Linked DNA regions of Xenopus tropicalis. The protein of the gene in region 4 interacts with the protein of the main gene of each other region in a biochemical or structural test. Links are inferred from orthologs where the notes say so. Each region holds a gene or a part of one and is shown on either strand. Other genes may lie near its edges.

The links.
Region 1: the proteins of src (region 4) and mapt form a complex in vitro, tested with the Homo sapiens proteins (3 studies listed by BioGRID and IntAct, with this or other methods). The link is inferred for Xenopus tropicalis from reciprocal best matches to the Homo sapiens genes SRC and MAPT.
Region 2: the proteins of src (region 4) and asap1 form a complex in vitro, tested with the Homo sapiens proteins (2 studies listed by BioGRID and IntAct). The link is inferred for Xenopus tropicalis from reciprocal best matches to the Homo sapiens genes SRC and ASAP1.
Region 3: of the proteins of src (region 4) and ptpn11, one has a biochemical effect on the other in vitro, tested with the Homo sapiens proteins (2 studies listed by BioGRID and IntAct). The link is inferred for Xenopus tropicalis from reciprocal best matches to the Homo sapiens genes SRC and PTPN11.
Region 5: of the proteins of src (region 4) and shc1, one has a biochemical effect on the other in vitro, tested with the Homo sapiens proteins (4 studies listed by BioGRID and IntAct, with this or other methods). The link is inferred for Xenopus tropicalis from reciprocal best matches to the Homo sapiens genes SRC and SHC1.
Region 6: the proteins of src (region 4) and ldb3 interact in a test that uses a peptide from one of them, tested with the Homo sapiens proteins (2 studies listed by IntAct, with this or other methods). The link is inferred for Xenopus tropicalis from reciprocal best matches to the Homo sapiens genes SRC and LDB3.
Region 7: the proteins of src (region 4) and khdrbs1 form a complex in vitro, tested with the Homo sapiens proteins (8 studies listed by BioGRID, with this or other methods). The link is inferred for Xenopus tropicalis from reciprocal best matches to the Homo sapiens genes SRC and KHDRBS1.

The regions. Positions count from the first base shown.
Region 1 is NC_030686.2:17,254,863-17,258,939, reverse strand, and holds part of mapt (microtubule-associated protein tau), read right to left. Parts: intron 2,948-4,077; coding exon 2,762-2,947; intron 1,674-2,761; coding exon 1,562-1,673; intron 195-1,561; coding exon 141-194; intron 1-140. UniProt on the Homo sapiens protein: Promotes microtubule assembly and stability, and might be involved in the establishment and maintenance of neuronal polarity.
Region 2 is NC_030682.2:142,238,175-142,242,865, reverse strand, and holds the start of asap1 (arf-GAP with SH3 domain, ANK repeat and PH domain-containing protein 1), read left to right. Parts: upstream 1-1,481; 5' UTR 1,482-1,765; intron 1,766-4,691. UniProt on the Homo sapiens protein: Possesses phosphatidylinositol 4,5-bisphosphate-dependent GTPase-activating protein activity for ARF1 (ADP ribosylation factor 1) and ARF5 and a lesser activity towards ARF6.
Region 3 is NC_030677.2:163,824,773-163,828,849, reverse strand, and holds part of ptpn11 (tyrosine-protein phosphatase non-receptor type 11), read right to left. Parts: intron 3,404-4,077; coding exon 3,324-3,403; intron 3,238-3,323; coding exon 3,079-3,237; intron 2,843-3,078; coding exon 2,711-2,842; intron 1,307-2,710; coding exon 1,152-1,306; intron 1-1,151. UniProt on the Homo sapiens protein: Acts downstream of various receptor and cytoplasmic protein tyrosine kinases to participate in the signal transduction from the cell surface to the nucleus. Positively regulates MAPK signal transduction pathway. Dephosphorylates GAB1, ARHGAP35 and EGFR.
Region 4 is NC_030686.2:39,476,957-39,481,792, forward strand, and holds the start of src (proto-oncogene tyrosine-protein kinase Src), read right to left. Parts: upstream 2,984-4,836; 5' UTR 2,822-2,983; intron 2,691-2,821; exon of another isoform or gene 2,615-2,690; coding exon of another isoform or gene 2,606-2,614; intron 1-2,605. UniProt on the Homo sapiens protein: Non-receptor protein tyrosine kinase which is activated following engagement of many different classes of cellular receptors including immune response receptors, integrins and other adhesion receptors, receptor protein tyrosine kinases, G protein-coupled receptors as well as cytokine receptors.
Region 5 is NC_030684.2:145,082,936-145,087,171, reverse strand, and holds the start of shc1 (SHC-transforming protein 1), read right to left. Parts: upstream 2,801-4,236; 5' UTR 2,086-2,800; coding exon 1,489-2,085; intron 1-1,488. UniProt on the Homo sapiens protein: Signaling adapter that couples activated growth factor receptors to signaling pathways. Participates in a signaling cascade initiated by activated KIT and KITLG/SCF.
Region 6 is NC_030683.2:49,220,888-49,224,010, reverse strand, and holds part of ldb3 (LIM domain-binding protein 3), read right to left. Parts: intron 1,459-3,123; coding exon 1,289-1,458; intron 1-1,288. UniProt on the Homo sapiens protein: May function as an adapter in striated muscle to couple protein kinase C-mediated signaling via its LIM domains to the cytoskeleton.
Region 7 is NC_030678.2:86,520,727-86,525,373, forward strand, and holds the start of khdrbs1 (KH domain-containing, RNA-binding, signal transduction-associated protein 1), read left to right. Parts: upstream 1-1,670; 5' UTR 1,671-1,674; coding exon 1,675-1,768; intron 1,769-4,526; coding exon 4,527-4,647. UniProt on the Homo sapiens protein: Recruited and tyrosine phosphorylated by several receptor systems, for example the T-cell, leptin and insulin receptors. Once phosphorylated, functions as an adapter protein in signal transduction cascades by binding to SH2 and SH3 domain-containing proteins.

The DNA.
Region 1 (4,077 bases), about 22 Mb from region 4:
ACCCACACATTGAATGTAATAATCATTATGCAATCGCACTATTGCCTATTAAACATAGCAACGGTATAGTCTGACAGTAGCAACTTAGTAATATTAATTACATGGGTTAATCTGCTCCCCACAGTATATGTGCCACTCACCTCTGTCTGGCTTGGCACCGCTGGGTGGCGGCTTTCTCTGATCCCTTCTGACAGCTGTTAGAAAAGAAGGTATTTATTACAGAAAGCCTTGCACTGTCCTACAGAACCAAGCCCACTCTCCTACAGAACCAAGCATGCTGTCCTATAGAACCAAGCCCACTCTCCTACAGAACCAAGCATGCTGTCCTACAGAACCAAGCCCACTCTCCTACAGAACCAAGCATGCTGTCCTACAGAACCAAGCCCACTCTCCTACAGAACCAAGCATGCTGTCCTACAGAACCAAGCCCACTCTCCTACAGAACCAAGCCCACTCTCCTACAGAACCAGCCCGCTGTCCTACAGAACCAGCCTGCTGTCCTACAGAACCAAGCCCACTCTCCTACAGAACCAAGCATGCTGTCCTACAGAACCAAGCCCACTCTCCTACAGAACCAAGCCCACTCTCCTACAGAACCAGCCCGCTGTCCTACAGAACCAGCCCGCTGTCCTACAGAACCAAGCCCACTCTCCTACAGAACCAAGCATGCTGTCCTACAGAACCAAGCCCACTCTCCTACAGAACCAAGCCCACTCTCCTACAGAACCAAGCATGCTGTCCTACAGAACCAAGCCCACTCTCCTACAGAACCAAGCATGCTGTCCTATAGAACCAAGCACGCTCTCCTACAGAACCAAGCACGCTCTCCTATAGAACCAAGCCCACTCTCCTACTGAACTAAGCCCGCTGTCCTACAGAACCAGCCCGCTGTCCTACAGAACCAAGCCCACTCTCTTACAGAACCAAGCCCACTGTCCTACAGAACCAAGCCCACTGTCCTACAGAACCAAGCCCACTGTCCTACAAAACCAAGCCCACTGTCCTACAGAACCAAGCCTCCTGCTGCACCATAGATCAGTCCCAGGTATCACTGTATCAGAAACCTTCCCATATCATATGTTACGCCCTTAGTAGCTTGGCTGCTTACACCTATCTCCTGTGCCACAAATCCTCACCCCCCTTCCTTTAAATGGCTTTCTACCTCAGTTTCCTATTTCCTCTCACATTACTTCTGTATCCCATTCCTTATGCCACTAAATACTTTACATTCCCCTGGATTCCCTTTCCTATATCACTTTCTCTTTTTCCACTATCTGCTCCATTTCCCTTTCTCTGTAGTTGCCTCTATCACATAATGCAAGCTTTTCTCTTCTTTGTATTCCCATCAGCTGTACTGGCATTTACCTGAATGTCAATACACTTGGAAAGCTGCTGGTTGGATCTAAGTGGTCTAAATTATTCTTCCACTGACTCATATCTTTTATATGCCAACCATATCACCCTAGCCCATGTGCCAATGAGGATTTTAGTAGTGAATTTATATTCTGCTCCCACTATGGTGACATCTTGCCCAAAGGCTTTTGCATCCCTACAAACTTACCACTAGGGGGGGTCTTGGGGATGGACGAAGTCTTTGCTGGGATTCTGGAGGCGCTGGTTGCATTTCTTGAAGCACTGAGCTGGCTTTTAGCACTTTCCGGACCTCCAGCCTCCTGGCAACCAAATATGTGTTATTTTGTGCATAAGTCCATTCAGTGGCAGCAGTGTTTGCTTGGGGTTTATCACAGGACTTGTGTCAGGTCCACTCACACACCCAAGCTCAAATATTCTCATAATACAAAATGGTTATCAGGGAATAGCTAGTAAGCAAATATAGCAATATTTTTTATCTTTGTCATCTTCTAATTCGCCTTTGTGAATAATGATAGGCACAGGGCACTCAGCTCCCACCCACACGCTCCACTAGGTATGACAGTCTCTTGCATCCATGTGACATATACGTATCTAGAAATCGCAATACTCTTCCGTCCTATATGAGCCTTATCTACCCTGCACTAGTCTTGTCTTTATAGTAAATCTATAGCATGCATTTACTGAATACCAAATTAACGTAAAAGTACCCACTTATGTTTCTCCACTGCAGTAACATGGGGGGGCAGGTGTCAAGAAAAGAATGGTACATGACAGGCACATAAATACACACTTTGAGACTGGGCACAATGAATAAAACCATAAAAGCAAACTAAAAGCAGCAGTGTGTTGGCTAGGGTGCTGCTAAGGAAGCCTTGGGCCAGGACAGATATAATACTATTGTGACAGGAGTGTTAAAAGAAAGACAAAATGCTGTGAATGATTATTTGGGGTTTTTCAGGCTACAGCCAGAGAACATTGAGGCCACAGGCAACATGGCCAGCATATAAAGCAGGGCACATATAATTCCTTTACAGCAGGCCAGGCCTGGACTGGAAGTCAAAATAGGCCCTGGCATTTCAAGTACACAGAGACCCAAACAGCCCCCCACAGGCCCAATAAATAGTGACTGTCTATGGCATCTTACAGCAGCCCCTCTGGTATTTCCCAGAATCCACAAATTGCCAGTCTGGGCCTGCAGCAGACCCAAAAGGCTTGGAGGCCATGGAGGTGAACTAAGGATCTTAAACATATGGGATATCACCAGTCTATCATTTCCTGTGTGAGACGGACGTATTGAACTGAGAGCAGTTGCAGAGAGAATAACACTGCAGATTTAGCATGGAGCCCACTCTGCATTAACCCTTGCATGTTGCTCTGCTTTCCTTACCTTGGCTCTGTGCAGCCTTGCAGTAACGCCTGGCTGGCCAACTGCACCAAGTGATGTTCTCTGAATGCTCCGTACTGATGAGGCAGCTGGACTGGAGGGGCTTTTTGAGGTAATAGAGGGTGACTTTTGGGGAACAGTGTAAAGCCTGCTCTTGGCATTTTTGGCAGGGGGGTGTTTGGTGGATATCTTCAGAATGCAAAACAAAAGATTAAAGAAGCATCCAAATAAAAAGGCAAACAAAATCAAACATAAATGAAGATGGTAAAGGTAAGATCAGAGCTTTGAGGTGCAATCCCATAATCAGGTGGCCATACACAGACCAACTCTATGGATATACTATCACCAGACGTATTCTTCATTTGCCCCCGAATGGTCTGCTAGTGCTAGGATTAGTAACCTGTTACCATCAAATCAAATTTACCATCAAATTGGTCCCAATTTAAGTGTGGGTGTCTAATCTCCACCAGTATTGTGAAATTTGAAGATTAAATACTGGTGGGGTGTAATCAATATTGGTGTTGACCCTTGCAGTCAGCCATAGTAAGAAATTTGCATTTAGCTCTGTTTTGTCCAGTTATGTCCATTTCTTTCAATGAAAGCAATCGTCTGACTGGCTGCTATGGGGCGCTGTAGTCCGATGACATAATTGACAAATGGATTTGTAAATAACCTGGAAAAACACATGGATGCCAGACAGATCTGGACTGGGATTCTGAATAGGCCCTGGCATTCCAAGTACACAGAAGCCCAAACAGCCCCCCACCAGCCCAATAAATAGTGACTGTCTATGGTGTCTTGCAGAGGTCCATCTGGCATTTTCCAGAATCCCCAGATTGCCAGTCCGGGCCTGGTGCCAGACTGCAGAAATCCAAAGGGCTACGTGGCACAGCTGACTACACTCACATGCTAAAGAAGCTTGTTGATCCAAAAATAAATTAGCCAGGGCCACTCCATCTGTTTTGGACCCAACCATGTTAGGAAATAGCAAATGTACTAAGCTAAGTGCCCAATCATTAAAATAAAAAACACCAGATAGTCTTGATTTCATCTCTTGTGTTTTTATCATCTGACAAATTTGATGCTCATGCACCTTGGATTTTGCACCCTAAAGCAAAGATCTTGGATAAATCAAAATTAAGAAGATAAGTGAATTGAACAAAAGTATAAAAAATAATGGTCTTAATTGGAGAGAGTCAGAAAGTGCCTGTTTGTACCCAGACAAGATAGGGGGTACGAGATCCAGTGTGGGGAGGATGAGAAGAATCTCAGATTGAGCAAGAACCTGTGTTTCCCTAAAGGTAGTATAAGCATGTTTG
Region 2 (4,691 bases), on a different chromosome or scaffold from region 4:
TCTCCCTGTTTCACGTTTCAGTGCAAACATTTGTGAATATTTGGCAGGCTAATCACTAAAATATAGAGAAACAAAACACGAGCAATGTAATACTGAGTCACCCCCAAATAACAATGCATTTCTTGTTTTTTTATCAGTTGAGGAGTTTTCCTTTGCGCTGTGCCTTCCAGTAATCCTGCTGCGCGACATACATGCAGCTTCCTGTTGCGCACAACCTGCTTCCTTGGGAGCGCTGCTCTCTGTTACTGAATACCTACACAATTTCAATGCGTAATTAATTATAAAAATGTTACTTTAATATAAGTTTTCTCTCTAAACAGTTAAATAAAATGGAACTATATCATTTCTCAGACATCTCGAATATCATCTATCTATCTGTCTGTCAATTTGTCTGTCTATCTATCATCTATCTATCTGTCTGTCAATTTGTCTGTCTATCTATCATCTATCTATCTGTCTGTCAATTTGTCTATATATCACCTATCTATCTATCTATCTATCACCTATCTATCTATCTATCTATCTATCTATCTATCTATCTATCTGCCATCTATCGATGTAGTTCATCTATCTGTCTCATCTCTGTCTATCTATCCATTTAAATATATAAATAGATATATATTGTAACCATAATATATACCTACTTCATCTGTGTATCTATCTATCTATCTATCTGTCTACCTATTTGTCTGTCTATCTATCACCTATTTATCTATCTGCTATATATCTATCTATCTAACATGTTACGGAACGACCCCTTATCCGGAAAACCCTTCATCCCAAGCATTCTGGATAATGGGTCCTGAACCAGCCTCTCATTCAAACCACTCCCTGGTTACTAAGGTAACTTGGACCCTAGCAACCAGATAGCTTCTGAAATTCCAAGCTGTAAACACTATTAGTAAACCCTCATTGCAAATTGTCTCAGGATATTACTTTCTACATTATACTAAAAGTTAACTCAAAGGTGAATAACCCCTTCACAGCCTCATGTGCCCTGCTGGGGGGCCCTATTATAACACCCTCCTGTAGGTATATTATTGCTAGCCCAATAAAGTTTAGAGCTAAAGCAGTCCCGTGGCAGACCCATTTTTAGCAACCCTCCCTGAACATTTCCCTTGTGATGAATTATGTATATGTAAAGCATCTGAGGCTGAGCCGTGTCCATAGCAAATAGCCTGGGGGGGGGGGGGCAGAAGAGTTGTGGTCCCTCTGTAAATCAATATATTGCTTTAACAAGCAGTGATGTGAATATCTGCCGAGAGATAATGTACATTTGGGCTCCCAGGGCCGGGCCGGGCAGGATGTAACGCTGTGCCCTTAACTCTCCAGATGGTGGAATGCCTGTAGTGTAGTGTTCAGATTTCCTGTTGGAGTCTTTGAATTTCCTGAAATCCCTCTGCTTTCAACCCAAGCGCTTTCCAAAAAAAAAAAAAAAAAGTCATTTTTTTTTTCTCTTATTCCTGCTCACATGCCTGATTCCCCTTCCTGCCCCTCGCTCTTTCCAGTGTTTTACATTAACCAGGAGGCTGCATGGATCTCTCCCAAGCACTTCCCAGGAATGATCTGACTTAGAGCTTTAGATTCTACAAAAGAAACATTTGTTCAGGCACTTTTTTTTCTTTTTGGGTTACACTTTTTCTTTTTGGAATATGTTTCCCCCCTTCTTTGTGTGGAAGTCTGTTTCCTCTCGGATCATGGAATAATGGATTTAATCGTGAGAGGACAAGAGCCTGGAATGGGAATTGGAACTGGATGGTTTCTGGTGAGTGCGGGAAAGAAAGAAAAAGAGAGAAACGCGAATGAATGAAAGCGAATGAGACTGAAAGAGTTTGGTGCGTTCCACAACTGGTATAAATGTTTTATTTGCATCCTTCCGACATAACAAAGGGTTAATTCATTCTGGGAATCATAGTCCGGCAACTCTTAGAGACGTAAGGTTAAAAGGGAAGGGGATAAGGATATCATATAAAATAATGCAGCCAACCTGGGACTAAAATCTGCATTTATTTGTAAGTTTATAAAGTTAGGGCTAAAGTACTTGGGGGTATAAATGTATACAGATATGGGACCTGTTATCCAGAATGCTCTGGACCTGAGGTTTTCCAGATACGGGTTCTTTCTGCAATTTGGATCTCTATCTAACATGAAATAAACCCAATAGGACTGTTCTGCCCCCAATAAGGGGTAATTATATCTTAGTTGGTATCAAGTACAGGTACTGTTTTATTATTACAGAGAAAAGGGAATCATTTAACCATTAAATAAACCCAATAGGGCTGTTCTGCCCCCAATAAGGGGTAATTATATCTTAGTTGGGATCAAGTACAGGTACTGTTTTATTATTACAGAGAAAAGGGAATCATTTAACCATGAAATAAACCCAATAGGGCTGTTCTGCCCCAATAAGGGGTAATTATATCTTAGTTGGGATCAAGTACAGGTACTGTTTTATTATTACAGAGAAAAGGGAATCATTTAACCATGAAATAAACCCAATAGGGCTGTTCTGTCCCAATAAGGGGTAATTATATCTTAGTTGGGATCAAGTACAGGTACTGTTTTATTATTACAGAGAAAAGGGAATCATTTAACCATTAAATAAACCCAATAGGGCTGTTCTGCCCCCAATAAGGGGTAATTATATCTTAGTTGGGATCAAGTACAGGTACTGTTTTATTATTACAGAGAAAAGGGAATCATTTAACCATGAAATAAACCCAATAGGGCTGTTCTGCCCCCAATAAGGGGTAATTATATCTTAGTTGGGATCAAGTACAGGTACTGTTTTATTATTACAGAGAAAAGGGAATCATTTAACCATGAAATAAACCCAATAGGGCTGTTCTGCCCCCAATAAGGGGTAATTATATCTTAGTTGGGATCAAGTACAGGTACTGTTTTATTATTACAGAGAAAAGGGAATCATTTAACCATGAAATAAACCCAATAGGGCTGTTCTGTCCCAATAAGGGGTAATTATATCTTAGTTGGGATCAAGTACAGGTACTGTTTTATTATTACAGAGAAAAGGGAATCATTTAACCATTAAATAAACCCAATAGGGCTGTTCTGCCCCAATAAGGGGTAATTATATCTTAGTTGGGATCAAGTACAGGTACTGTTTTATTATTACAGAGAAAAGGGAATCATTTAACCATTAAATAAACCCAATAGGGCTGTTCTGCCCCCAATAAGGGGTAATTATATCTTAGTTGGGATCAAGTACAGGTACTGTTTTATTATTACAGAGAAAAGGGAATCATTTAACCATTAAATAAACCCAATAGGGCTGTTCTGCCCCCAATAAGGGGTAATTATATCTTAGTTGGGATCAAGTACAGGTACTGTTTTATTATTACAGAGAAAAGGGAATCATTTAACCATTAAATAAACCCAATAGGGCTGTTCTGCCCCCAATAAGGGGTAATTATATCTTACAGGAGAACATTAAACAGGGGATCAAAGGAAACTATTCCCAGAAGAGCTTACAGTCTGTTTTCAGTTTCTGTAGGGGGCAGCTTGGTTTGAAACAACTGCTGTGAATCAGTGGGGGCACGGCCATGCTATGGGGTGATGTGTGGGGTCCTGTTGAATTAATTACAGGCTTGAAGCTACCAGGGCTTTCAGAGAGGCGCTGTATAAACAGAGTTAGTGTTGAGCAGTCTTAGGGGCCCCAGCTTAAGGGATAAGGTAAATCTGATAAACAAACTGACTTTGGCCGGGAGGTGTAGTTCAGCAATAGCTCATTGGCTGCGCTGGTGTATATAATAAAATAAAGTGCAGTCATTTTGCAATGTTACCTGTAATTTGTGCACACACAGGCTTGAATATCAATGCACACAAGCACTAACGCCGTGCACAGAAAGTTCCGACTGCCTACATTCCATTCATTGCCGCCATGCAGCGCACACAGGGTTAAAGAGATACACACTAACATGAGAAGGAACATAGCAGAGAGCATTTCCTAGCTAAAACCACCTAATTCTCTAAGCGGAATAGTAGAGATGAGCAAAATGATCGGATTTCTGCGCAAAATGTAACGGTTCGACAACTGAGATCTAAAATTGTGTATATGAAGCAGGAACAATATTTGTGTTATTTTATTGCATTTTCCAAAACCCAGAGATTTATCACATGTCCTTAGAATAAAATAGACACTTCTTTGTGCAAGTTGTCATTATGTGCTGCTGAGTGATGGGGAGGGGGCTGCCTGGGGGCAAAATGGTAAGTGAGGACAGGGGAAACATAGGGACAGAGTGAGGGTAGGAACAAGGGGCAAAGGCAATGGGCCAGAAATAGGGGTAGGCAGGTGGGCGCAAGGGTGGGCAGCAAGCATGTACCTCTTCTGTCTGTCTACCCCTAGTCCGTGCCTTCGGTCAACCCTGCTCTGCTCTCATTTCCCTACAGAAATAGGGGTTGGTAGCACTAGGTAGGTACCTAATATATAGGGGCAGAGACAGGGGAAAGTGTTGGAAGGGTTACTGCCTGCCCTGCTCTCATTTCCCTACAGAAATAGGGGTTGGTAGCACTAGGTAGGTACCTAATATATAGGGACAGAGACAGGGGAAAGTGTTGGAAGGGTTACTGCCTGCTCTGCTCTCATTTCCCTACAGAAATAGGGGTTGGTAGCACTAGGTAGGTACCTAATATATAGGGGCAGAGACAGGGGAAAGTGTTGGAAGGGTTAC
Region 3 (4,077 bases), on a different chromosome or scaffold from region 4:
CAGAATGTTTGGGACCTGGGATTTTCCAGATACAGGATCTTTATGCAATATGGATCACAACACCTTAAGTCTGCTAAAATTATTTAAACATTATACAAATGCAACTGGATTGTTTTGCCACCAATATGGATTTATGCAGCTTAGTTAGGATGAATTACAAGGTTCTGTTTTATCACTACAGAGCAAAAAGAAGCCATTTTTAGAAATTAAAAATATTTGATTAAAAAGGAGCCTATGAGAGATGGCCTTCTTAAAATCTGAAGCTTTCTGGATAACAGGTTTCTGGATATGGAATCCCATACATACCTACTGATAGTAAAGTGCCTTGCAAAAGCAGTTAGACCTTTGACCAGTTCTCACATTTTACTAAATAACAAATCCTACACCAACATTTTGGTCTCCTGCTAATTTTATTTGACAGAACTGAAACTACATTTTTTATTATGACATGGTTTAATGTATAAAAATTCTAAAACCATATCATAACAACAATACAAAGCGTTTACTTTAAAAAGTTATCTTTTTTGGCACTTTTTGTGCTTGAAAGGGGAAAACTATTTTAATATAAAAGCCTATATTAATTTATATCTGCATTTTAATGACAACCACCTTATCAACTGTGGCAGGTGGTTAGTAAACCAATGCACTGTGCTCATACTGTGTATCTTAAAAAATGTATTTAATATATTCCAAATAATTGACAGCACACAAAAAATCTTGTTAAAAAATAAAATACATTTGCACTGTATTTGTCTGCAATGGTTAGGATCAAATTCATGACAAGTTATACCTGCTGCAGCTAACCCTGTATTTTTACATTAATAATATTTTCTTGCAATGTTTCCAGGTCCATCTATCAATACTATGTCACCAAAGAGCATCTTAAATGGGCATTATAACACTAAAAGAGATAAAGTAACTGCTAAGGACAGCTGTGGTCAGAAAAAAACAATGGCATATATTGCAGGAATTAAATGGTGATAAAAGGAAGAAGAAGTTTTTAACCACTTTATAAAATCAAAAGAAGGGGAATTATCAGTCATTTGTTAATAAATCCATTAGACAAATAAAGGGAGAAGTTAGGGTTTGGTGGTCATTAATGTGTGTGTTTTGACAACAATAACATACTTCCAGCCCTGTACAATCCTTACCTGCAATGAACAACGACAGGCCCAGCATCAGCGATACCATCTTGTTTGTGGTGTACTTCCTCTAAAAAGTCCAAGACTCCACCAGGGTCGGTTGGTACACCATGATCTGGCCATGTTTTAAAATGGTATTGCCATACTGTCCTTTCAGTGTTCCCCTTTAGTGGGGGGAAAAAAACAAAAAAAACAAACTTGTGTTCAGCCATTGGTTGTTTACACAGAACAATAAATGAGCATTTACTTTATCCTAAGACAATACATAATCATAACGCCTGTAACTCCCACATAAAACAGAACTCTTAAAATAAAAATGTCATGCTAGAAATGTATCATTCTAGAAACATTATGGGGGAAATTACACTGTAGTGCAGTGCTGTCCAACTTCTGTGGTACCGAGGGTCAGAATTTTTCTGGTCTACATGGTGGAGGGCCGATAATGGAAGCCTGTTTTGACCACTCCGCTTTTTTAAACTGCACACACTTCAAATCACACCCAGCACAGAAAACCCCAAATGGTTGGTGCTCACTGTAGGAATATCACCCTTAATTTATATGTGAAAGAACTATATTATGTCATATTAAGCCACACCCTTAAATCCATGCCTCCTCCTCCCCTCTGGATAGCACAGCAACCCCCAGCACCTAATTACACACCTTAGGGACCATATAATGACTATTTTCAAATGCTAACAAACTTCCAGAACAAACCCCTGCCAGGTTCGCTTCCCACAGGCAGCATAGGGCAGGCAGAGTATGGCATACACAGGCAGCATAGGGCAGACAGAGTACTGCCTGTGTGTGCCATACTCTCCCTGCCCTACCCTGCCTATGTATGCCATATTCTGCCTGCCCTACCCTGCCTGTGTGTTCCATACACACAGGCAGAATAGGGCAGGCAGTACATACAGGAACACAATTCACTGCTCCTACAGTCGGAGGTGTGAACAATGTGGGTCTGAGCCCGAGGTGTGAATAATGCAGCGATTAAAAGGGGATTAAATATTTAAACAATACAGGGGTTTTCAGCCTAAATCTGAGGTGTAAACCATGCAGGGGGCAGTTAATCTCAGGACCAATACCATTTAAATCTTACACAAAGTTAAGCAGTCTCAGCAGCCTGACAGGTAGGGGCTACACAGAGGGAGGCATCCAGCCTAAAGGCCACCAGTTGGACAGCACTGCTGTAGTGGGTACTAAAGTGAATGATTAAACATTCTCTGTACAGCACTACAAAGAAGTTGGCACTGTAAATAAAGAGAAATAAATACTATTTGTAAGAGACCCTTAAATATTTTAAATAGTTTTATGAACATTTTTATTAAATATTTAATGGAAAATGTATAGAAAAGGGCAAAAATGGATCAGTAAGTACTAATAACTTACAATACAGCATAGCAGTTCACAGCTTTCTATCTGACTGGTTCCTAGAGTAAGTGACCCTAACAACTGCAGGTGGGAGTATAGAAAGCAATAAAAAATAGCAATATAAAGAAATATTGCACACTTTGAAGCTACCTACATTATGTTAGTAAAGACAAAAACAGATAAAAAAAAACACATACTTGCCCAACTTTGGAAAGCTTAAGCTCTCTTAGTATATAGTCATGAGCTGGAGTTTCTTTAACATTCCTCACACGCATCACCCCATATTCTTTCAAAGCAAACTCATCTGGCCAGTACTTTACACATTTACTCTGAAAAACAGGACACAGGAATGCAATTAATGCAAATCTGCAACAATTTTTCTGTTTGCAGCTTCATTGGCTTACTATTGCAGAAATTATATGATCCATATCTGAATCACATTCAGGAGCTGAGTTCCATGGCATGTTGACAAGCTACTAGTTATCAAACTATATACTGTATCTGTCCTAGAAGTACTGCTTCAAGAAGATCAGAATAAAATAGGACTAAACAAAACACAATGCACCTTTCCTCGTTCAACTTCCTTTGTGGTCATGACAATAACTCTGGAATTTTCTTGAAACACCATTCTCCAAAAATCATTCACTGTATTTTGTAGGCAGCCTTGTGTAGCAATGTAGCGTTTCTTGGGTTTGGGATTGTTGCATTTTGTTTCAAATTCAGGCTAAATAAGTCGAAAGGAAAACACACACAAATAAATACCATAACATTGGAAAGAAGAAAAAGGAAATACATATCATATATACTTACCATAATAATGTTAGCATTGATGTAATCAGAGACCTGTTCATTGGGGTCCCCATCGTGAAGCTCAACCCTTGTGTGATCAACTATATGTAAACACAGAGGTAATCAGTTTGTAAGAAATGAGCATCTCAGACAAGTTTTTTTAATTTTCTATATTTACTAATCACTGCAAGAGCAAGATTCCTAACATGGCACTGCTGGAGATTTAACCAAATTGTTTTTTAATCTATATGCACTAAAACAGATTGAACACAAAAAAATGCGAGACAATTTGTAGAAAACATTTGACTTTAAAATAGTTTCTCTTTCTTGGGGACTTTAGACTACAGCATGAAAACAAAAGCTATATAGTTTTGATACATGTTTGTCAGTAGCAGAAGAAATAATAAAAATCACAAACTGAGCCTAAATACACCTGGACATATAAAGTTTGGCTATAACAGTACTTGACAGGAATAACTTTACCCATTGCTGACTTTTCAGTACATCTGCATAGTATCACATAAGCCTCTGCTAACCACCGCAAAACTGGCATAGATTAATCTAAAACAAGTTCCCATAAAAGTACTTCATATCAGAGATGATCCAAAAGAATTGGGCGCCCGAGGCAACCCTTAGCAAACTTCCATTCTTGGTTCCAGTCCTCTGCTGCTGCCTCAGCTGCAAGAAACAAAATCACCAACCCTCCTCAACAGGTCCTTTGCCACTGCTACTGTAACTTGCACTAGCCATCCTTCATCCCCATTGCTTATTGCAA
Region 4 (4,836 bases):
CAGATTTTGGCCTGAGGATCCCTTTAAGTTCATCCCTTTGTGGGGTTGTAAGTGGGAGGGAGAGATGTGAGTTTAACCAAGAATGGCAGGCAGGCTGTAACACGTAGCTGGCTCGGAAGGCTCAGAGTACACAGGGTGAGAGAGGGGAGTACACTCCAGATTGCATTCTGATAGACTCAACAGGGATTGAGGCACGTGTGAAGGTGAGCTGGGATTTAGCTGGCTCTAAGGCAACTGTAGCCTCCACCTAGTACAAAACTACAACTCCCATCACCCTCGGGAGTTGTAGCTTTGCACTAGAGGGAGGCCAGAGCATAAATTTTTGGTTGAAAAGACCTGCTGATTTTATCTAAAGGTTATTTGCTAAGATACATTCATGTGTCAGTATATTTGATAAGCCGATGATAACAAAGCCTGGCACACGTTGCCCTTTACCCAGCCTAGCTACATAGGCCCTTCCCAACAACCTAGCATACATACCCCTGTATCAGAAGCCTTTCACTTGTACCAACAGTCTGGTACATATAGCCCTTTACATACAGTGTAGCAAATATACCTCTTTGACTACAGCCTGGCACATGTATCATTGTACTCAGAGCTTGAGAACTCACATACATATACCTACAGCCTGGCACATATACCACTGTACCCACTGCTTGGCACTTATGTACCTATACCTATAGCCTGGCACATATACCACTGTACCCGCTGCTTGGCACTTATGTACCTATACCTTCAGCCTGGCACATATACCACTGTACCCGCTGCTTGGCACTTATGTACCTATACCTTCAGCCTGGCACATATACCACTGTACCTGCTGCTTGGCCCTTATGTACCTATACCTACAGCCTGGCACATATACTACTGTACCCGCTGCTTGGCACTTATGTACCTATACCTTCAGCCTGGCACATATATCACTGTACCTGTTGCTTGGCCCTTATGTACCTATACCTACAGCCTGGCACATATACCACTGTACCCACTGCTTGGCACTTATGTACCTATACCTACAGCCTGGCACATATATCACTGTACCTGTTGCTTGGCCCTTATGTACCTATACCTACAGCCTGGCACATATACCACTGTACCCGCTGCTTGGCACTTATGTACCTATACCTACAGCCTGGTAAACAGCCCCTTCCTTTATCTAAAGCCTGGCACATATACCACTGTACCCACTGCTTGGCACTCATGTACCTATACCTACAGCTAGGGATGCACTGAATTGAATCAGAACACTAAAAATCATGTGCCTTTTTGTCATATAAACACAGAAGTTGAAATTTTTTCAGCGCAACCTGCGCACGAGGCTCGCTTTAACCCTTCCCTATCCTAATTTACATATGCTTGGTATTTGGCCGAATCCTTTACGAAGGACACTGAGTTTGACGGAATCTGAAAATAGTGGGTTTGGTGCATCCTACGTATAACCTAGCACCCTTAGCCCTTTACCTACAACCTGGCACTAACAAGGCGACATTGGAAAGTTATGATCATGGCCCTAAAGCCTCCTGCTTTAAAAGCTGCACAGCAAATGGTTAAAAGGGGGAGGGATACCCATTTGCTTGAGTACATTCATAAACATTTACCCTTGCCATTTGCTAATTGTAGCAATCACATAGTTAAAAAAAAAAACAATGCTGCCAGCTCTGTATGACATTTAATACCAATCTAAATTTAGATATAAACTATAATAATTGTGCAACCCACTGCCATAGTAGCTGTTTGACCATTGTGTGTGTTTATATGCAGAATTGTTCCACATACATACACAGGTACATAGCATAGTTTTGCTCCCCAGAACTACCCATACCTATAGAGCTGGGTTGAATTTTAACTCTCAACTTCAACCAGTAGCAGGATGGCCTTTGGTTTATTATAGAGAGGACTCACAAGTGTACAATCTATGATAACCCACCATGCACGCCTTGTACCCTTCACCACTCCTCCATGCATGCCCTGTACTCTCCAGCCATCCTTTACTCCCTGTACCATTTACCCACACACACCCTGTACCCTCCTGCATTCCCCCATACATGCCCTGTACCCTCCTGCATTCCCCCATACATGCCCTGTACCCTCCTGCATTCCCCCCATACATGCCCTGTATACTATAGCATTCCCCCCATACATGCCCTGTATACTATAGCATTCCCCCCATACATGCCCTGTATACTATAGCATTCCCCCCATACATGCCCTGTATACTATAGCATTCCCCCCATACATGCCCTGTATACTATAGCATTCCCCCCATACATGCCCTGTATACTATAGCATTCCCCCCATACATGCCCTGTATACTATAGCATTCCCCCCATACATGCCCTGTATACTATAGCATTCCCCCCATACATGCCCTGTATACTATAGCATTCCCCCATACATGCCCTGTATACTATAGAATTCCCCCCATCCATGCCCAGCACACCCAATATTGCTAACTAGCCCCTTCACTCCCCAATATTCTCTCAACTCCAGACTTGCCCAGTGACTCCCAGCATGCCCCCATCTCAAAATCATGTGTTAAATGTACGCTAGCTTATTGGCCCAGAAGTTTAACCCCTGATGTTCGCAGGAAACATGCTGCACTTACCCTGACCATTAAAGGGCCTGTGTGCACAACATATACACAGGCATACCCACCGAATACCGGGCCAGAGTGAGATTTAAAGGCCCATATGGTAGCAGTGCTCCAAATACCCCCAAAGGCGTTACATACACCATTCCCAAGCAGCCTATAGCGCCCCCATTCTCTGCACCCGTGGTACTATCCTACGCCCCCTAGCGGCACGGTGCAGCCACTACTTACCTTGTCCTGCCTGAGATATCGGGAGATTCCACTCTCCGGGAACCCCCCTCACACAGAGGGGGGCAAGAGCGCTCTTCTCGTACCCACTATCTCCCGGTGCCTCTCCCCACACATCAGATTCCTCCTGGGCCGGGAAGTTTGGGGATCTACTCAGCGTACGGTTCACGCCCGGCCGGCTCCAGCTCCCTCCTCCCCTCCGCCTGTGCTGCCCTCCCCCGGGTCCGCCTGTCCCTCCTCCCACTGAATCAGCCCTGGCCCAGCCTGTCACTCCCGTTGGGGGGTCTCTGTACTGCCCCAGTGACACCCAGCCTGCTCTCTCACCACAGTCCGGGGCGCTTATTAATTCGGCCTGTCCCTTTTTGTCTTTCCCCTTTGTCCTTCCCCTTTCATTTGCATTATTCCCCTCTCAGATCCCACCTCTAATCCCAACACTTCCCCCTCTCTCCTCCTCCCCTCCCAGAGCTAGCCTGGCTTCCCTTGTCTTCCTTTCTCTCATTCTTCCCTGGTGAGTCGCACCGACTGATTCACTCAACTAGAGGAATTACACAACCCTATACTTCTCCCCATACACCCAGCACCCACCCCTCTAGTACTTCTCCCCATACACCCAGCACCCACCCCTCTAGTACTTCTCCCCATACACCCAGCACCCACCCCTCTAGTACTTCTCCCCATACACCCAGCACCCACCCCTCTAGTACTTCTCCCCATACACCCAGCACCCACCCCTCTAGTACTTCTCCCCATACACCCAGCACCCACCCCTCTAGTACTTCTCCCCATACACCCAGCACCCACCCCTCTAGTACTTCTCCCCATACACCCAGCACCCACCCCTCTAGTACTTCTCCCCATACACCCAGCATTACATTAACATTTATTTATAAAGCGCCCACCCCTCTAGTACTTCTCCCCATACACCCAGCACCCACCTCTCTAGTACTTCTCCCCATACACCCAGCATTACATTAACATTTATTTATAAAGCGCCCACCCCTCTAGTACTTCTCCCCATACACCCAGCACCCACCCCTCTATTACTTCTCCCCATACACCCAGCACCCACCTCTCTAGTACTTCTCCCCATACACCCAGCACCCACCCCTCTAGTACTTCTCCCCATACACCCAGCACCCACCCCTCTAGTACTTCTCCCCATACACCCAGCACCCACCTCTCTAGTACTTCTCCCCATACACCCAGCACCCACCCCTCTAGTACTTCTTCCCATACACCCAGCACCCACCTCTCTAGTACTTCTCCCCATACACCCAGCACCCACCCCTCTAGTACTTCTCCCCATACACCCAGCACCCACCCCTCTAGTACTTCTCCCCATACACCCAGCACCCACCTCTCTAGTACTTCTCCCCATACACCCAGCACCCACCTCTCTAGTACTTCTACCCATACACCCAGCACCCACCCCTCTAGTACTTCTCCCCATACACCCAGCACCCACCTCTCTAGTACTTCTCCCCATACACCAAGCTCACATGTCTCTAGTACTTCACCCCATACACCCAGCACCCGCGCCTCTAGTACTTCACCCCATGCACCCAGCACTCCCACCTCTAGTACTTTTCCCTAGCTCTTTGTGAACTATTGTTTGGATGACTGTTATCTGGTTGCTAAGCCTCCAATGACCCTAGCAACCAGGTAGTGATACCAGTGGAGATTAAATAGGAAAGCTTGAGCAGTGCATTGTAATGTATCACCCTGCATTGTTCACACCTCAGATTCAGGCTGTAACCCCCTCTATTGTTCACACTTCAGATGTATGCTACCTGTGTGTGCCATACTCTGCCTGTCCTACGCCGCCTGCTTGTGCTATACTCTGCCTTCCCTATGCTGCCTGTGTGTTCCATAGTCTGCTTGCCCTATGCTGCCTGTGTGTGCCATACTCTGCCTGCCCTATGCTGCCTGTGTGTGCCATACTCTGCCTGTCCTATGCTGCCTGTGTGTGCCATACTCTGCCTGCCCTATGCTGCCTGTGTGTGCCATACTCTGCCTGC
Region 5 (4,236 bases), on a different chromosome or scaffold from region 4:
GGGTAGGGGCACAGACAGCAGGTAGGAGTAGAGGGTAGAGATTGGGACTAGAGGGTAGGGGCACAGACAGTAGGTAGGAGTAGAGGGTAGAGGTTGGGACTAGAGGGTAGGGGCACAGACAGTAGGTAGGAGTAGAGGGTAGAGGTTGGGACTAGAGGGTAGGGGCACAGACAGCAGGTAGGAGTAGAGGGTAGAGGTTGGGACTAGAGGGTAGGAGCACAGACAGCAAGTAGGAGTAGAGGGTAGGAGCTGGGACTAGAGGGTAGGAGCACAGACAGTAGGTAGGAGTAGAGGGTAGGAGCTGGGACTAGAGGGTAGGAGCACAGACAGTAGGTAGGAGTAGAGGGTAGGAGCTGGGACTAGAGGGTAGGGGCACAGACAGTAGGTAGGAGTAGAGGGTAGGAGCTGGGACTAGAGGGTAGGGGCACAGACAGTAGGTAGGAGTAGAGGGTAGGAGCTGGGACTAGAGGGTAGGGGCACAGACAGTAGGTAGGAGTAGAGGGTAGGAGCTGGGACTAGAGGGTAGGAGCTGGGACTAGAGGGTAGGAGCTGGGACTAGAGGGTAGGAGCTGGGACTAGAGGGTAGGAGCTGGGACTAGAGGGTAGGAGCACAGACAGCAGGTAGGAGTAGAGGATAGAGGCTGGGACTAGAGGGTAGGGGCACAGACAGCAGGTAGGAGTAGAGGGTAGAGGCTGGGACTAGAGGGTAGGGGCACAGACAGCAGGTAGGAGTAGAGGATAGAGGCTGGGACTAGAGGGTAGGGGCACAGACAGCAGGTAGGAGTAGAGGATAGAGGCTGGGACTAGAGGGTAGGGGCACAGACAGCAGGTAGGAGTAGAGGATAGAGGCTGGGACTAGAGGGTAGGGGCACAGACAGCAGGTAGGAGTAGAGGATAGAGGCTGGGACTAGAGGGTAGGGGCACAGACAGCAGGTAGGAGTAGAGGATAGAGGCTGGGACTAGAGGGTAGGGGCACAGACAGCAGGTAGGAGTAGAGGGTAGAGGCTGGGACTAGAGGGTAGGGGCACAGACAGCAGGTAGGACTAGAGGGTAGGGGCACAGACAGCAGGTAGGACTAGAGGGTAGGGGCACAGACAGCAGGTAGGAGTAGAGGGTAGGAGTACAGACAGTAGGTAGGAGTAGAGGCTAGGACTAGAGGGTAGGGGCACAGACAGCAGGTAGGACTAGAGGGTAGGAGCACAGACAGTAGGTAGGAGTAGAGGGTAGGAGCACAGACAGTAGGTAGGAGTAGAGGCTAGGACTAGAGGGTAGGGGCACAGACAGCAGGTAGGACTAGAGGGTAGGAGCACAGACAGTAGGTAGGAGTAGAGGCTAGAACTAGAGGGTAGGGGCACAGACAGCAGGTAGGACTAGAGGGTAGGAGTACAGACAGTAGGTAGGAGTAGAGGCTGGAACTAGAGGGTAGGGGCACAGAGAGCCCTGGTAGCCCAGAGAAACAAAGCCCAAGAAAGAGAAACATGGCCTTACCCTGACCAGATAGGGAACCCCGGGGCCCATGACCTTGTCGTCGGGGTGCAGCCAGCCTCGGGTGGGCTTATTGACAAAGCTGCCGTGCCGGGTCCATTCGTCGCCGGCCAGTTGGCCTCCTTCCACCCGGGACTTTCGCCCGCAGCTCAGTTTGTTCATATCCTGTGAGAAAACAGTGAAAGTCCGGCCTGATTCGGGGCTACTGCCTTCATTGGGGGTGTCCCCTTGCTCCCCGGGGCTGGCGCTCTCCTTCCCCCCCATGGAGGAAGAGAAGCTGCGCAGGTTAAGCAGGTTGGCCGGGTTGGAAAGTTTCAGGTTGGCCATTTTGGGGAAGAAGGAGCACAGAGTGGTGGGGCTCTCCTCCGACTCAGAGGACAGCTCGGCCAGCGGCAGCATTGGGGCAAGGGAGGAAGACGAGGCAGAGCTGGGCAGGGACACCATGATTTCCACCGAAGGGCTGAGGGGCCCAGCGGCCAAAGCCTCTTCCACCGAGCTGACCGACTCATTGCGAAGGTGATTGTATTTGGTTTTGGGAAGCAGATCCATGATGCCAGCTGCCAGCTTGCACTCGACAGCAATGGGGGGTCTGGTTCTCATAGTCCGGTACCGGGCAAACCTGTATACACGGATCTCCCTCCAGAACCCCACATTGGTACCCCTCCAATCAGCTAGAAAGGGGCAGCCAGGAGCCGGGCTGGGGCATTGGCTTGAGTGCCGGGGAGAGAAGAATCCAGCGGGAGACCAGCAGGTTCTGATCCGGGAGCCAGAGAGAGGAGAGTGTCACTTGGTGCATGTCCCACTCACTGTGCATGGGGGCCCCCTCCCACTGATCAATACATTCCCTACACGGCCGCTGATGGGTGGGTACCTCTCCCCTGGCCTGCGGGGCCCCGGCACCCTACGGAGAGAGGATATGGGAGAGCCGGCAGCACCGAGCAGGAAGGCAGCAGAGGAAATGCTGAGGGGGGGGGGAAATAAATCCATATATTTATATCTCCGATGTGCGGCTGGGGGCTCCTCTGGGGGAAAGGTCAGCGAGGGGGGGGGCTAATCCTTGTGGGAAAATGTGCAGATGGACACCGGGCCGGGGGAGGGAGCCATTCCACCTGCCTTCCTACCCATCTCTGGGGCAGGGAGAGAGCTCAGGTGCAGGGGGGGTGGGAGCCTTGCACTGTGTGCGAGTGTGAGTGAGGGACGGTGAGTGGGAGTCGGGATGAATGGAGCTGGGGCTGCCTGATTACCTATTCACTGGCTCCCAGGAGAAGGAGGCTGCTGCTGGCCAATAGCACGCGCTCTGCTGACTCACCCAGCTACTGCCCCCCCCTCACTTCCTCCTCTCAATGAAACCCACCCCCCCCCTCCTACTCACTACTGGGCCCCGGAGCTGACTATCTACTGCTTGCAACAGTCTCCCCATACATCACAGCCCTCAGTTCATCTAAGCCTGGGGGGCTCAACCAGCATGGAATAATGTGGGGGGGGCACAGAACACTAATAAAATATATATATTCCCAGTCACTTGTCTTTAGGGACTAACTATGGAATGGGGAGCTAGGGGCCCAGCCTGAAGGCCAGTTAGGGGTACCCCTGGAACTATAGCGGGGTGACTGTTACCCAAATGTTTCTATATATCTGTAACCTTGTTATGGGCTAAGGGGGCCCAGCCTGAAGGCCAGTTAGGGGGGGATTTGGGGTGAGTGCTTATTTGTGCCCTGGGTACCCCTGGAACTATAGCAGGGTGACTGTTACCCCAATGTTTCTATATATCTGTAACCTTGTTATGGGCTAAGGGGGCCCAGCCTGAAGGCCAGTTAGGGGGGGATTTGGGGTGAGTGCTTATTTGTGCCCTGGGTACCCCTGGAACTATAGCGGGGTGACTGTTACCCCAATGTTTCTATATATCTGTAACCTTGTTATGGGCTAAGGGGGCCCAGCCTGAAGGCCAGTTAGGGGGGGATTTGGGGCGAGTGCTTATTTGTGCCCTGGGTACCCCTGGAACTATAGCGGGGTGACTGTTACCCCAATGTTTCTATATATCTGTAACCTTGTTATGGGCTAAGGGGGCCCAGCCTGAAGGCCAGTTAGGGGGGATTTGGGGTGAGTGCTTATTTGTGCCCTGGGTACCCCTGGAACTATAGCGGGGTGACTGTTACCCCAATGTTTCTATATATCTGTAACCTTGTTATGGGCTAAGGGGGCCCAGCCTGAAGGCCAGTTAGGGGGGGATTTGGGGCGAGTGCTTATTTGTGCCCTGGGTACCCCTGGAACTATAGCGGGGTGACTGTTACCCCAATGTTTCTATATATCTGTAACCTTGTTATGGGCTAAGGGGGCCCAGCCTGAAGGCCAGTTAGGGGGGATTTGGGGTGAGTGCTTATTTGTGCCCTGGGTACCCCTGGAACTATAGCAGGGTGACTGTTACCCCAATGTTTCTATATATCTGTAACCTTGTTATGGGCTAAGGGGGCCCAGCCTGAAGGCCAGTTAGGGGGGATTTGGGGTGAGTGCTTATTTGTGCCCTGGGTACCCCTGGAACTATAGCAGGGTGACTGTTACCCCAATGTTTCTATATATCTGTAACCTTGTTATGGGCTAAGGGGGCCCAGCCTGAAGGCCAGTTAGGGGGGGATTTGGGGTGAGTGCTTATTTGTGCCCTGGGCACCCCTGGAACTATAGCAGGGTGACTGTTACCCCAATGTTTCTATATATCTGTAACCTTGTTATGGGCTAAGGGGGCCCAGCCTGAAG
Region 6 (3,123 bases), on a different chromosome or scaffold from region 4:
TAGCATTCCTATTATGTTATAAGCCCCTAACATGAAACTAGCAGGATGAATGGTGTAACAACCCAAAGAATTGTGGACCAATAGTGATGAGTGAAATTTTTCGCCAGGCATGAATTTGCGGCAAATTTCCATGTTTTCGCATTGGCAGATTGTTTCGTGAAACGGATGCAAAAATTTGCCATGGAAACATTCAGCGCACAACAAAAAATTGTTGACGCACATAATTTTTGGCGTTTCGCTAAAAAAAAATTCACGGGCAGAAAAACAAACATTACATTTTTTTTTAAGTGCAGACAGATTCGCTCTTCACTATGGTTCAACATGGGCATAGCCAAATTGTGCTGTAAATGTATAACAGTACAAAAATACCATAAAACTACACATTCTATAAAATCTCCTTGCTAGTGTTATAAAAATGATCATGTGCTAAGCAACATTCAACCTTAGTTTTATACATCTGCTAACTGTATATTTGTATAATTGTATTTTTGTATTGTATTTTTGTCCATTTTAACTTATGACATATAAAACCACTTAGGTTTCAAAATGAACCTAAGTCCACTTTGCATTGATTTATTTATTGCAGTTTTTATTTTAAGCAAAGTAGATCGCTATAATTAATAATGATCCACTATCAGAGACAAAATTAAAACTAATCTGTAAAACTAATCTTTAAGAATTTGATAAAATAAGAAACTGTTATGGTAGAAACACAATCTATTTGGTACAGAAGTCTACATTTAAAGGGCACCTATTTTTAGGGAAAACTGCTATCTGGTTTGAAGAAGCGATACTGGCAAAAACAGTGGTGTACAGTGGTGGAGCAGATGGGGAGAAACTTTGAGCATGGCAACATCAGCGATGCACTCCTTTACTTATCCTTCCTTGAACAAGGGCTGTTCATATTGGGACACTTGTCCACAGGTAAAGTTCCAAAAGGTGGACATCCCCTGAATGTCTGGACTGGATGGCTGCCAGCTGTGATATTCCAATTTGCACCACCAGTTCTTTTTACACAAACTGGGGCATTCAGGGGATATGTTCATGCATTGACCCAATTTTTCATTTGCATAGCGAGATATAGTGATGCCTTAATGGCTGAGAGGGGCTCCAGGTAACTCTTGGATGGTAGTGCCACTGTCAATGCTAGTATTGTTTCCCATATACAGAGGTAAGCCTATGGGGCTAAGATAAATCTCTTATAAAGCAGCAATTTAACCATTTTTTATCTGTCTTAATTTGTCTTTATTTGTTTTAGTGGCAAAGTCATTAGAACTGTATTACTCACTGTATTCTGTTCCAGTGATATGTGCAAGGACACGGAAGGACTTAGACTGCAGATTGGCAGCACGACGTGCCCAGTCATCAATTTCACTCTCAGTTTTGCCCTGATTTTTAAGCACAGCCTGATACACTGGAGAAGCAATGTCTACGAGAGGATCTTTAACAGGGAGGTTACTGTAACGCACAGAGAAGTGAGTTGGAAATTGCCAAAAAGGAGATAAAAATTTTAAGGCCTCCCTACCATGCAGATACAAGACCAAAGTCAAACAGCTTACATACATAAAATTAGGGGAACAATTGAGAAATTAGTCAAAATATCACAAAAATTTGCACTTTGTACTGAATTCACCTACTGTTAAAAGACATGAAGCCATTTTAGCAGTGGAGTGGAAGCTGCAGGCCTTGCATTTTAGGAAAACTGAAACAACCAGTAGTGTTGGAAAATATTTCACGTGTTTTACAATACATGTTAATTAACTAGATATCTGTGAGCATTGAAATACAGACATAGCTCTATCTGTCTCTCCATCATCTTTCCATCTGTATATCTAACTACCTCTATGAAATACAGGTATGAGATCTGTTATCCCGAAACCCGTTATTCAGGAAGTTCAGAAAGTACAGGAAGGCCATCTCCCATTAACTCCATTGTAGTCAAAAAATTAATTCCTTTTTCTCTGTAATTATAAAACAGTACCTTGTATATGATCCTAACTAAGATATAATTAATCCTTATTGGAGGCACAAATTGGGTTATTTAATAGGTTTTTTTTTGGCAGGGTTACAGTCTGGAGATCCATCCCCTTATACAGAAGACCCTAGGTCCCAAGCATTCTGGATTACAAATCTCATACATAAATATCCTTAAATTATGTTACATATACAGTAGAGCAGAACACATTTACGTCTTCACAATCATGTTAGTTTTAGCAAAGTTATTTTATGGATAAACAGCCATTATATGTATTGCTATTTGATCAAACCTAATACTTTGCTGTTGGCTGCATTCTGCTGAGATTTTTAACATGACCAGTTATTTTACAATCAATAAATTATCAAGCTACACCCAGCAGGATTATTATCTGAAAATCAACTAAATCCACTATAAAATTCAATATACACTGGGCACAGTGATATAAAAAAAAAACCAGTAGGGCATAACATGAGTTCTTCATATCTACATGTCTATCCAGTTATATATATCTTGGTCTATTCTGCAATAGTAAAAACAACAATCCATATTTTATATCATCTTGCTATAGTACTATTTTGTTACACATATATTTCCAATACTATTGACCTTACAATACTAAAAGCTGTCTTAAGGCCATGTTTAGCTGCATTTTCTACAATAAGTTGCAGGTACTAAATGCAACCAAAATGCAATTAATTAAGTGACAACAACTCCAGGTACGGTTTTGTACGATAATATCGGGGTGTGTATGGCCTGCTTTAGACAGAAAAAATTTAGAACTACATTGCTTCAGTAATTGTACTATGTAATTTGGATAGACTTGGGTACAAGCTATTGAAATGCATAATTGAGCCATAAGGTTGTACTGTATGAAGAAGCTGATAATAGTTGATAAACTGCTTTTAGCAACTCTTTCAGAGTTATGTAATAACACATTAAAAAATACAGCTACAAAAATAAATACCAGAACACATATCATCTATAGGTGCACCTAAACTGTAGCAACAACACCATTCATGTATACATGGCTGCTTGAGAATAATTGTACATAGGCAGAAAGCCATAAGTGCAAACTCTAGTGATATCTTTTGACAAAAAAAAACATTTTTTAAATAATACTATACAAGGCACATCATGCATACTAT
Region 7 (4,647 bases), on a different chromosome or scaffold from region 4:
CAGAGGTACCTGCCCAGCGCCCCAACTATTTCCCCCTAGGCAGCTGCAGTCACATACTCCGGAAGTAACCTCACAAGCATGCGCAAAAAATGTGCGGTCGAAAATTTCTACCAGCGCAGGATGATGCATTGTACCAGGTGACATCATTGAATGCTTACTGCACACGCGGGCTGGAGTTCACTACAAGACTTGGGGAGGTTTGCTTAAAATCGGGAGAATGCTATTGGGGGATGGGAGACCAGGGGGAGAACCACCAAGATAACTCCCGATAAAACAAGGGTGATTGACAGCTCTGTGGCTCACAATATACTCTACATACACAATATAAATGTCACAATATAAGGCTGACTAGTAATAAATACAGATGATTACCGGTACTACATGGCAGCTCTAAAGCCAGTGCAATTATCAGATTTTAATAATCAGCCATGCAGCATCAGCTTATATAAAAGGCCAACCTCCTTTTTTGCAATGACAAAAGTAATTAGGGAATATACTGTAACTGAATAACCATGAACATAAGATGTCCAACACATTAGCCCATATAATTACCAGTAAAAGGAGGAACCAAGGTCCTTAAAATAAATACTTTCTCTGGGTACACAGGGTTCCTAATCATAGACTTGCATTACACCACACAGCCAAGTACAGTGAAACATCAATTTTACATCCCCTGATTTTAAGTTTTCCTGCATTTTACACCATCGTTTTTTGGTCCCACTAATAAATAATAAACTTCTGGGAAAATGTAAAATCAGGGATTTTGCGCCATCTATTTCTGGCCCCCTGAAAAACTTAAAATGGGGGTTCTACTGTAGTCTCATTCTTCATACTTTATAGGTGAACACATACAAAGAGAACACATTTACAGCTACAAGGCCACTGAAACGTATCTACACACGTGCAAGTTTCTTTTTTGGAGCCAGAATTAGTTCTAAACTCAGAACATGAAACCTTTCTAAATGACGGGCATTTGATTTTACAACTGTGCCCCCCCTCATCCCCTACAGCAGTGATCCCCAACCAGTGGCTCCTGAGCAACATGTTGCTCACCAGCCCCTTTGATGTTGCTCCCAGTGGCCTCAAAGTTGGTGCCCATTTTTGAATTTCTGACTTGGAGGCAAGTTTTGGAGGAATAAAGACCATTTGTACTTCTAAACAGAGCCTTTAGTAGTCTGCCAGTACACACTGGGCTACTAATTAACCAATCTGAGTCCTTATTGGTCACCTACTAGGCAAGTTTTTGTGCTTGTGTTGCTCCCCAGCTTTTTTTTCATTGAAATGTTGCTCACGGGTAAAAAAGGTTGGGGATCCCTGCCCTACAGTGTAAGTCACATTAAGCTACGGTCTTACAGTAACAAGCCAGACTCCATTATACGTAGAAACAACGTGCCATCTTTTGTCACGTATCTAGCCATCCAAAACACAGAATCCATGTTTAATACACTACGCTTTCATTCAAGTCTCATTTCTTTGTACGGGGAGCGGAAATCCCGTGTTGCCTAGCGCGCAGTTTTAATTCGCTCTCCCCTCCCCAGGTGGTGTTACGTTGCTTCCGGTGGGCGGTGCTAGCTACGATCTCTTCTTTTGTTGAGGCCGTGCAAGTGCGAGCGGATTTTCTTATCGACACCAGCACTGAGCGTATTGCCGACCAGTAACACCGAACCGAGCAACATGGAGACCGAGACCAAATACTTACCCGAACTGATGGCTGAGAAGGACAGCCTGGACCCATCTTTCACGCACGCTATGAGCCTCCTGGGCAAGGGTGAGTCGGGCTCGGGCGGGGTGTATTCATTTAAGGGTTTGGCGTGAGGGGGACAAAGGGAGTAGGCCAGGGGCCTAGGTAGTAGGATTGGAGTAAAAACACCTTTATGCATTCGGGCCTGCTATGCTTGGCCATGTGGCGTGTGTTAGGTTGCAAAGAATAATGGCGGCTTTGAGCTCACTGCATGCTGTGGATCAGTGTCTGGTTTGTCGACCAACCCTCCCCCACGGCCGTGTTTTTGCAGCTGCTGTTCGAAGTTAGACAAATTGGGGGACTGCCTTCCGAATGTTGCTGCTACTGGGTTTCCCATAGGCATATCCCTGTATGATGCTACACACAGTGTAACCCATGGGTGCAATACAGGCCGACTTAGATACTGTTTTGTCATTTCCAAATCCCTTTTAAGACCAGACCCTTTAATTGAAGTCCGCGTTGTCTTATAATCATTGTTTCAGAAATATTTAGGGAATGATATGTTAAACGTGAAGTATCTGATGGAGAAAATGCATTGTCCCCAAATCACACTGTATGGCCTTCAGTCAGACCCCCACAGCCTTTCTGTTTACCCTTTATTAGAATATATATCCCTTACATAGCAAAAGGTGCTGTGTCCTTATTCTTTAGGAAACATGAATAATTTGTTGGAAATTAGTAAACAAAAGGAATTCTGGTAATGAATTCCAGACTCTTAAAAAAAAAAAAAAAAATCCCATTTACATGGGTTTATCCTGTAGGCTACAGCTCACCCACTGGGTTTGAAGCTGAAGCCAGGACAATAGCTGATCAGATTCCCAACTACAGACCGGTTTTGCCCTTCTTGGGGCTCATCAGTGTAGTGCAGGGTTTTCTGATCAGCTTAGGTAGAGTCACCATGTGGTTCTACAAACAAATTAATAGGGTTACCTATTTATTTGTTTGGAAATTAGTAGATATGGGGGCAGCTGCTTGTTTCATATCTTTTGTCTTGTGAGTACATTTATTGTGACCTGCTGTGGTAATCTGTACAATGTATATATGCTGTGTTACCAGTTCTGTGATGTAGCAAGGGAATGAGATCCAAATGGCACTGTTTGCCCATGGTTTCTACATAAAAGCTTCTTTGTTCTGTGAGAGATACTGACGATTTCCTCCCTCTGTTGGCAGCTGTTCTTTGTCTAGAGGAGGTCAGGGTATAAACCCCATTGTATGTGCAAGAGAGAATTTATTTCTGCTACATGTTAACATGTTTAACATTTCTTAAACATTTCCAACAGTCCTTGTAACTGAAAAGTTTTAACATTGATTACAATTGTATTGTATGAAAGGATCTATATATATGTTTGGCTAAAGCATTGGACTGTGTGGGGGTTACAATATGTGTAAAAACTGGTTTGCTTTGCAATACCTGTTTGGAAGTGAAGTATGGCGATTGGTCAGTAGTTTCATTTATTTGTATGGTTAGTATTTGTCATGTATTTTTGAAGCTAGGGGTGCTTTGATTTTATGATGGACCACAAAGGCTTGAACCAAGACTTTTTTTAAGGCAAAGATTTCATTTGCTTATTTTTTCCTAGTTATAAGCTGCATTAATATAATGCATTTACTCCTTAGTTGTGCGGTTGTCTTTTGCATGATTGAAAAAAAAAAATGATCGACTATTCCTATGTAGTGTTTCAATTTTACAAATGTAGCCTCGATACCAATACAGACTTAGAAGTAAACTTGAAGTCTATATAATACCAATCAGATTTCTTTTTTTTTATCCTCACACGACTCCTTGGTCTTTACAAATCTTGTGTTTTAAAATGAAGGGCTGTAGCTATTTTTTCCCCTGCAGATTACCCTATATTTCTGTTCTTTCTATTGTGCATTGGGTATTCCCGTTCAGATTTGGGGGGTGGTAGATCAGAAGGATAAGAATGAAATGCATTAGTAGTGTTTGTCAGTGACAGTGAAGCTTTCTTGCAATTTTAGGGTAGCCCTGGTGAACTCTTGTCCATCCTTTAGTAAGGCTGATGTCAATATGCCCCACTTGTGCAGTCACTTAAAGTAATGCTATCCTCCTGTTACTGTGTGCATTTGTTGGGCTTTGGCAAGAAAGTGCAAAAGATTTATTTTCTGGCAAAATGTTGCCCCATAAGCATGGTGATGGGAGGATTCCATCCTTCTGCGCAGAATGGATGGAATTGGTCTTTTTTTTTTTTTAAGCTGGGTGGAAATTGCCTGGTACAGGTATAGGACCCATTATCCAGAATGCTCGGGACCAAGGGTATTCCGGATAAGGAGTCTTTCCGTAATTTGGATCTCCATACCTTAAGTCTACTAAAAAATCAAAACATTAATTAACCCCAATAGGATTGTTTTGCATCCAATAAGGATTAATTATATCTTAGTTGGGATCAATTACATGGTACTGTTTTATTACTACAGAGAAAAAGGAAATCAGTTTAAAAATTCTGAATTATTTGATTAAAATGGAGTCTATGAGAGACGGACTTTCCGTAATTCAGAGCTTTCTGGATAACGGGTTTCCGGATAAGGGGTCCTATACCCGTATTAAATGAAGTTTTTTTTCTATAGATTTTGTGATTGTCCACAGAATAAATATACTTGGCAGTAGGTTTCTACACAAAATGTTGTTCACTCTATGCACTTTTGTTTTATGCTGTGATGCCTTTTAGTAGGGGATACCCCAAAAAAGAGGTTGAAATTCTTGCCACTGCTCAGTTGTGCTAAAATGTTTAAAAGATAATAAAAACATCCAAATTAATTTATACAGAAATTGAAAGGCTGAAGAAGGGAGGTGATGCCAAGAAAGATGAAGAAGATACTTATCTGGACTTATTTTCCCATAAAAACATGAAGTTAAAAGAGCGCATTTTGATACCAGTCAAGCTGTA